Arabidopsis thaliana: one gene and its partner. The protein of the gene in region 2 purifies or fractionates together with the protein of the main gene of each other region. This does not show direct contact. Each region holds a gene or a part of one and is shown on either strand. Other genes may lie near its edges.

Region 1 (5,190 bases), on a different chromosome or scaffold from region 2:
GACGGCTTTGACTTCAGCCCATTCTGAGAAACAATGGCAGAGATTACTGAACTTAATTGAAGCCACACTTCCACTTGCAGCTAGTAAGATACGAGGCTTCCTTGTTACTGTATCCACTTCCATATTCATCTTCTTCTCTATCTGAATCCAGAAGCAGGATCAAATTTTATACAAACAATCTATGAGATTCTCATTTCTCAGAGAGGAATTCAGAATCCGAACATGGATTTTAACGATCATCTTTTGTCAAATCAGAAAGGAAGCGAGAGATCAATGGATTCAAAAGTTTGTGTTAGAGACATTACCTTGTTACAGCCGAGGAAGGAGGATCTGCGAGGAACCCTAATCGGAAATCGAAATCAAATGCCGCGAGGGTCTTTAAGTTTGAAAACAAAACAGAGAAGTCGACGTCATCGCTGGTCAATCTGGTCGTTGACTAATCAAAAATGGGCCTTCCCAACAAGAAACTGAAACAATCCAAAAACCTTATTCTGGTTTTGTGTTCAGTAAGACTATGACCCAGTCACACAAATACGAATGTTAATGTTTCTCAAGTCCCCCTAAATTGTTTTATTAACAATCAACTATGTTTCCCTTGCACCATAACGATTATAGATTCTAATATATAGAAAACTATCAATTATGTTTATTAGACTAGTGTCAGTTTTCAGAATAAGATTTTCAAATTAGTGAAGATATTTGACAGTTTCAGAGATATTTAGGTTTCTACTAAGCTTCTTATAACTCCAAATTCATAAACCTCAAAGGAAAAGAATGTTACAATTCTTGATAACAAAGACGTAGCAAATCAAATTCAGAAGGAAGAGTGAAAGTTTCCCCCATCTCCGAGCTACACATAGACCATTTTAACACTACTGTTTAAACCTCTTCTGGTAGCAAAATCCTAGAAACGTACAAACAAACAACCCTAAAGTGAAAATCAAACATTAACAACCAATCAGTCTTCCTCCAAATGAATGTTTTCTCCTAATTAAATTCCCTAAAACACATACGAAGATTTCTTTCTCGATCATCATTATCCCTTGTAGGATTCAGTCATATCAGTAGCTTTCTTTTACATTCCATCCGCTAACTTCTGGACCTCGTCAATTGCTGTTACTGCTTGTTTCAACTTAGCTGCAGCTTCCTTCACTTTCTTTTGCTGCAACATTTTTCATTTCAGTAACTTATCATCAGATTCTTTCTTTTTAGTTGAAATGAATCCATTTTAATTAACTAATCAAATGACCATTCAATTCCATCTTCTAGGCTATACGACATAATCTAACAATTCTGTTGACTTGCTAGTATCCTTTGTGCTCCACACAACATAATGTCTAAATCAAATTGATGCAGGGATACAGTAATGTTTACGAAAAACCATTATAGAAGCTAAGTGGGGATAGTTCACTTACTAAGAGTGCGGTTCTTTTCTTGAGATCTCCGACGTTTGCAGCTACCGGTGCCACTGAAGTGCTCTTTTGTTCATGCATAGAAAACCCGACTTTGACATAAGTATACACACAGTTGTATAAGCATGGTTATGTCTTACATGAACTCTTGTAGATATTGACTCAAATGAAATGATAATGACTAACCAAATAGATTTCAAGAAATACACCAAATCCAGATACTATACACATCTTTTCAAAATATTACGAATCATTTCAAATTCTGCAGAACCTAAAATTAACCAGATTTGAGACCACCAGAGACAAATAACATACAACTCTAAACTTTTTCCACTATATATGCAGAACAAACAGTCAAGAACAACCGTATAATTGGTATATACCTTTTGTTAAAATTATACATTAAGCATTGTTATGTCTAACATGAACTAAACACTTGTGAAATTTATTTGGACTCAAATTACATGATAACTTCTTACCAAATAGACCAATCACTTTCACTTCCACATTATACAAAAAAAGATTTAATGAAATACACCAAAATCCAGATAAGATGCACATCTTTTCAAAGAAATTACGAATAATATCAGATACTTCACACTCACAATAGACCACATTTGAGACAAATAAAGACATTACTCTGAACTTTATCTACTATATGCAGAAGAAACAGTCAAGAAGAACAATATTAAATAAGACATTTTCCCAAAATACACCAAAATCCAGATAAGATACACATTTTTCTAAAAATACGGGGAATTTCAGATACTGCAATCCTAAAAGTAGACCACATTTGAGACCAGAGTCAAATAAGACATTACCCTGAATTATTTCCACACTATACAGAACAAACAGTCAAGAACAATCATATAATTGGTATCAGACCATTTCTAAATTTCTTTTGACATTTTGTGAATAAAGATAATGAAATTAAAGAGAAACATACCTTCCTAGTCCTGCGCACAGGCTGTGCAGCTACTTCGACAGTAGGTTTCCTTCCACGTCTCTTAGCTGGAGCCACCACAGTTTCTGCTGGAACAGTTGCAGCCGCCACGTCATCTTTCTTTGGCCTCCCTCGTTTTCTAGAACCCTCTCCAGTAGCAGTAGTAACCACAGCCGCCGTTACAGTCGACCTCTTTGCCCTACCACGTTTCTTCACAGCCGCCGCCACAGACGTAGAAGGAACAGCCTGAGCTACGTTTCTTTTCGGACGACCACTTGGTTTAGTACTCGCCTTCGCAGAAACGGCACCGATTTGGGAAGAGTCAGATTTAGCCTTTGGCGGTCGACCACGACCGCGTTTCTGAGAAGCAGTATCAGTAGCTGAGACGCCGGTGGCATCCGTTTGAGGTTTGTTGCCAGACGCATCTCCAGGTGTACCGGATCTTGGAACTTCGGAACCAGACGCGGGAGGAGTAAGAGCTGTTTTCGCCATGAGATCTGTAGATGCGAATCAGAAAAAAAAAAAAAAAAGAGAAAGCAAAATGTGAGAAAACGGCGGTTAATCGGAATCAAAACCCTAGCAAAAACGGACATCAACGGAGACTAGACTTAAACTAAACAACCAGAAACTCGATTTCGCTAAAACCTTAACGAAATTTCAAATGTCACAAACCTAGAATCTAGAAACGAAGACTGTAAAACACAGATTCAGGCTCTCACGCGTAGAGATTTCGTTTTGAGAAAAACTAGGGTTCGCAAATCGCAATGTACGTACCTTGTTCAACTTAATAGAAGGATTCGCGAGATGGTAAAGGAAGCTTGAAGAATCTGGAGGAAGAAGAAAGAAATTACAAAGAGAAACTTGGCGGAGAAGAAAGATAAGAGAGATAGAGATGGTTTTCGCGGTTAGAAGAAGAAGGTCACCACCATGGGCTAGAGCTTGGAAAGAGTAGAAACGAACGACCGAGAGGTTCAGAATCAGTTGCGTCAACCGATATGGGTCCACCTTTACTCCTTGTTTTTATTTTTATTTATCAACATTTCATTTTTCTTTTTAATTCACAGATTTTTAAAATAAATCACGAATATTAATTTTTTGGTATTATAGTATAACATGCAAATGTGGTGGTGATTTCTTTTTAACTTTTTCAAAAAAAAAAGTTGATTTATAAAACCAAAATCGAAAAATACACTACTTTATTTCAAATTCAAAATTTTTTTGGAGAAAAGTATTGAAAACTTGTTAAAAAAGTGTTTATCGAGTAATAAATTTAGAAATTTGGTTAAATGGTGTGTGAGTGAAGAGTAAAACCGTTCTATACCTTCTACCTAATTTCTGCAATAAGTACACTTAAAATTAAAACCGGATTTCAAATTAAAACAGAGCAACTGACATAAGCAACTTTTATTTAATGGTTTTCTAACTACATAACGTAAGAGACTTGAAGAAACCATCATAAAAAGTAGAAGTGGTCATAAAAATTACATAAGCGTTTTTGATAAACATCAACAACAACTCCTAAAAAGCCTAAGGAGACAAAATAGAATAAGAGACACAACAGTCTAAAAAAAACACGAGGGAACAAAGAACAAAGCTGCCTACACAGATATGGACGATGGAGAGAGATGGGAAGCATGAACAATGGTAACATCCTAATTCACTTTACAGACATTACCCTACCTCTCCTTGTTGTTTGGTTAGAGACACAATCATCATCATCAGTTCATCACATTGTTCTTTTTGTTTTTCTCCTGCAAACACCCTTATAAGATTAAAAATTTCATGTAACACACAACAAGTAAACCCACCACTTGCTAGCTTTTTATGTCAAGGCTTTATCTTTAGAACAGAGCTTCTTGCATTGCCTCTGCTTCTGTCTGTCCTTGACCCTCTGCTTCTGGTTCGGTTTCAAGGTGTTCCTCGTCTGGCAGCTGCACTTCTTCCATGTGCTTTGGCTCGTTTGTTGTCTCTGCTATCCCTTCCAGGTCCTGTATGGCTTGAACCACTGCTTGATTTCCACTTCCTCCTATCTCGGATTTCAACACAATTACAATATCCTTAGCTCTCGCTTGCTGCATAAATGAGATATCAAAACCAAGCATAAGCAATTAAGTATCAAAACCAAGGACGGACCATATTGTGTTTCTGTTCATTAGATTACTTACAAACAACTCAAACTTCTTCTTCAGTTCTCCATAGTCACCATCTTGTCGTCCAGAAGCTCCCACTGACACCGCATTCTATGTTTATAAATGGCAATAATATAAATGTAATTAGATAACTAACTCATCAATATAATAGACAAAGAAATTCTAGTGGACTTGGAAATACACAAACTCTTGAACTTTGACTGAATTAACTAAATTTCTGCTTAAAACAGACAAAACTTGATAAGATGTCTGTCTCAAAAGATAAGTTCATATGTAATTCTCACACTTCAACTGAACAATTATTGGTTGCTAAAGCGAGCCACCTACCAAGTTGCTCTTGATTACCAAACAAAGAGATATCTTAGATTAATAGTACACCACAAAACCAGATTAAGTATAGGCCAAAAGCAGAGACACGAATATAAATTAAACTCTAGAATTTATTTAGTTAGATACTCTCTAGTCTCCACACACACGCTCGAAAGAGACAATGTTGAGAATGGAAAGTGACATTTATTCACAAGACAAAAGTTCCAACTTTTATTCTCTTATCTATTTGACTAGAAATATTCAAGTTCTCTATAATCACTGTGTAATCGCAGAGACAAAAAGGAATGATATTTTACCTTTCTGGGTCTTCCTACGGGTTTTCCAGTACGAGCAAAGCTTCTCATCGGCTTCATAG
Region 2 (3,719 bases):
ACAGAGGCGATAATGATGTACGAATCGGATATCCGATCGGTGTCATTATTTTATTTTTGCCCTAACTCGAAATTAACTTTTGACTTTTTGAGTATTTGGGATTTGATTTGTTTTATATTTTAATTGATAAAGGAATTAAAAAAATTATGTATTCATATACGAATAACTTATGTCAATACAAATTCTTGAAAATAATTCTCTTTGAAGTCGCAGTATACTTGATCAAAGCCAATTGTTTTAGGTACACTAGATTTGACGAAAATTTGTCTGCGATGAATCCGTAAATGAAAACTTAGTAACTTTACATATCTTCATACCAAATGAAAACTTACTTAGTAAAAAGTAACTTGATTCATAATCAACTCGATGAAATCTCTTTTAGTTTTATGAATAATTGAATAATGCATGTTTAATATTTATTTTCTATTATACTTAACAACACTGTTACTTGTCCTAATCAATTAAATATTGTTTGTTAGTAATATTTTGAATTTTATTTTCAATTATGCTGGTGATATCAATTCCGTGTCGTCGGTAAGTTAATAATTGGATGAGGTACACCGTACCATTCAACATTTTTTCTTCGTATTTATATATAGAATTTGGTTTACACTTTACCAATCTCAAAATTATAATTTCACTCCAAACCTAAGAGCTTATAATATGGTTTTTGTTGTTTAAAAAGAGCTTAATATTATTGGTTATAAGACTCTTCACTATATGATTTTTACGTATGAGTGCGTTGGCGGAAAGATATATAAACTATAAAGAGAAGGTGATTAATAAGGTACCGATACTATATATTATCATATCTTAAACATGTTAAGACACAAGTATACAACATAACAAAGCAAAAGATTACAAAGCCATCAAGACAAACAAAGACAAGGTAAATATCAGCTTAGATAGCCGTCTTATTTTACGTATACGAAACCATACTCTTCAGGCAAATGATGTCGTTATTCCCCACTTCACTTGATGCTGCAACAATACAAACGATCAAGAGTATAAATTACATCACTAGAAAGATTAAGTCATCGTCTCAAGATCGAGAAATTAGCCAAGTTAAAAAAAAATATTAGAGAGAATATGAGCAGTACTGCTCAATTAAAAACTTACGTGGCGCAGTTGGTGCTCGTGGAGATGGGATAGGGGATGCTAACACCGCACTTTCCAGGAAGGCCAGAGGCTAGACTTGGATTAACCCCTTTTGCAGCGGACTGTAAGCATCTGCATGCTTGTTGGCGGTCGGGTGTGGTTTGAGCCATACCGTTCAACTTTTTGACTCCTGCACAGCACGGAGGTGGCACCACCCCACCCTTTGATAGGTAGCCTAGACATGGACTCAAGCTACTTGCCACTGTGCCACATGTTATTGCTGCATCCACTGATGCAACGATGAACACTGTCAAAACAAAGCATGTGAAGAACCTCAAAGCGAAAGCCATTGTGTTTGCTCTTCTCTTTTGGGTGATAACACAATTAGTTGAGTTTTGTTTTCTACGCTTGTGTTTTGTTGTTGGATGTGAGAAAAGTGGGAGATGATGATGGGTTTATATAGGGATTTCGTATGGGGGAAAAATGATGACTAAGTAGGGTTTGTTAGTAGTTGGTTTTGCATTTACTTCATGCATTCTTTCTAGTTTCTTCTACTAACGAAAATAATTAGTTTCTCCAGTCATATGTAGTTATGTTTCTTCTACTAACCAAAATAATTAGTTTCTCCAGTCATATGTAATTATGTAAACAATAGTATCAGTTTTCAGAATGTACAAAGACCAATACGTCAATATATATACAGCTATACTGTTAAAAAATATATATTCATTTATCTGCAGTTAATTAAACTTGTTTTTTTAATTAGCATGTTTAGAGCGATGTTATACTGTAGTAGACAAGAGAAAATCGTTTAAAAATTTGTATCTTCGTTGTAGATGAAATGTCAGCTATTATGTGTACTATATATGTAATACCGTCCAATTAAATGCGATGTGCAGCTGATAGACACGTGTATCCAACACTAAACATCACAATTCTCCCATCACGTTTACTAATTATGGCCATTATAATTAGCAAAGTTCACATTTTATGACTTACTACATAATTGAATGATAGAGGTGCTATATGGAGTTTTTCTCGATATTTCGTATAATCATTAACATAAATGCGTTTGTCAACAACAAAAAAGATTTAATAAATAATCTGAATAATAACAAAATTTATTATAATCGTACGCCAAAAATACGTTTTATAGCCCTGCAGGAAGATTTTTACGTGAATGCCACATCAATTCAATGCATAATTTTGTATACGAACCATAATAGGACGAAAAAAACAGTCTTTTTCTAACTATACTTGAAACCAATTCTAGACTCAAGCGGGAATAAATACACGAAACCGAATTCGTCTTATGCAGTACATAGCATGAATGCAATATAATCTCCATAACACTATCGCTCTATAAGCCATATATAACTCATAGTCACATGCAGTCTCATATATGTCTCATAGTTACACATATTACAAAATGTCTTTAACTTTTGTGTTTCCTTTCTACGTACGCATGTGATGATGCTTCTCCGATGTCTTAGAGAGCTTGGGACGTGAAAGGTTGATGTATGGTGTTGGATACTATCAGCCAAAAACCGTCAAGCAACATCGTACAAGATTGATAAATGTCTCACATGTGTAGTACTTAATAGTCACAATTTGACTACACAAACCTCTACCGACACTAATGTAGCAATTATATCATGTTATATGCTCTTAAGGTATAGTATGTATAACAACATTTCATTCTGTAAAATATCATCATTTATATCAAATTTATGATATATAAAATATCATTATCATTTTAAAATAACACTAAAATAATCAGTGCAATTCCGTATAATCTTCATATGAAACTGCAAGAATCCTTGGTGTTCCAAAGATTATGATGATTATTGTGAGCTTTGATTTATGGTTTCCATCTTGTCAAAAAATGGCTTTTATAAATGGTAGAGCTTTCTTAGTTTTCCTTAAGATATACACAACAGGTTACAAATATAATTTATTTTTGCTAAAAGAAATAGTTATAGTAAACTTGTAAAAACTACTACAACTATTTTATGGAAAATGTCTTAAAGCTGTTTCAACTTTTATACACATTACTGCATTTACTATTCTGAAATCAATTTTTAATTAAGGTCCTTGTACTATAAGGAATCCTTTAAATAAATATAAATATTAACAATAAAAAAATCCAAAATTTCAGAATGCAATGGTCTTACAATTACAATAATAATGTATTTGATTGTACTAAAAATATACCTTAAATACTCACCAATTATCTTTTATAATATAATCCACAAATTTCTGGAAGAGGAAAAACAAGTAAATGCAAGTCACATTTCACATTTCAAATTACCAACTACCAACTACAAACTACTTCCGCGTCTCAAATTGAACCACTAATTAATCACTACTTTATATGCTCATCATTCTTTTTCTTTCATTACAATTCTAGAATAATGACTTAACCAAAATTCATACAAATAAAACAATATTTTGGCTTCCTTCACCAGGCTAAGAATTTTGGTATTGAAAATCTAAGTACTTCATAAGAAACTGTTGGAATCATTTAAAATTTGTGATCATATATAAAAAAATTTATTCATCTTTATATTTAAGAGTTTAAAAACTGCAACTTTTGTTTTTCTTTCACTAAGTCTTATGGC

Evidence for each region.
Region 1: the proteins of LTP4 (region 2) and AT1G48610 fractionate together in Arabidopsis thaliana (co-fractionation; one large-scale study listed by BioGRID). This does not show direct contact.

What each region holds. Positions count from the first base shown.
Region 1 is NC_003070.9:17,969,952-17,975,141, forward strand, and holds AT1G48610 (AT hook motif-containing protein), read right to left. Parts: upstream 3,452-5,190; 5' UTR 3,130-3,451; intron 2,853-3,129; 5' UTR 2,848-2,852; coding exon 2,359-2,847; intron 1,479-2,358; coding exon 1,416-1,478; coding exon of another isoform or gene 1,371-1,415; exon of another isoform or gene 1,163-1,370; coding exon 1,076-1,162; 3' UTR 660-1,075; downstream 1-659. Other genes in the region: ATHAL3B (Flavoprotein), read right to left, coding at 1-129; HON5 (high mobility group A5), read right to left, coding at 4,197-4,427, 4,521-4,595, 5,132-5,190. UniProt on the Arabidopsis thaliana protein: May bind DNA.
Region 2 is NC_003076.8:23,924,325-23,928,043, forward strand, and holds LTP4 (lipid transfer protein 4), read right to left. Parts: upstream 1,634-3,719; 5' UTR 1,449-1,633; coding exon 1,120-1,448; intron 982-1,119; coding exon 972-981; 3' UTR 666-971; downstream 1-665.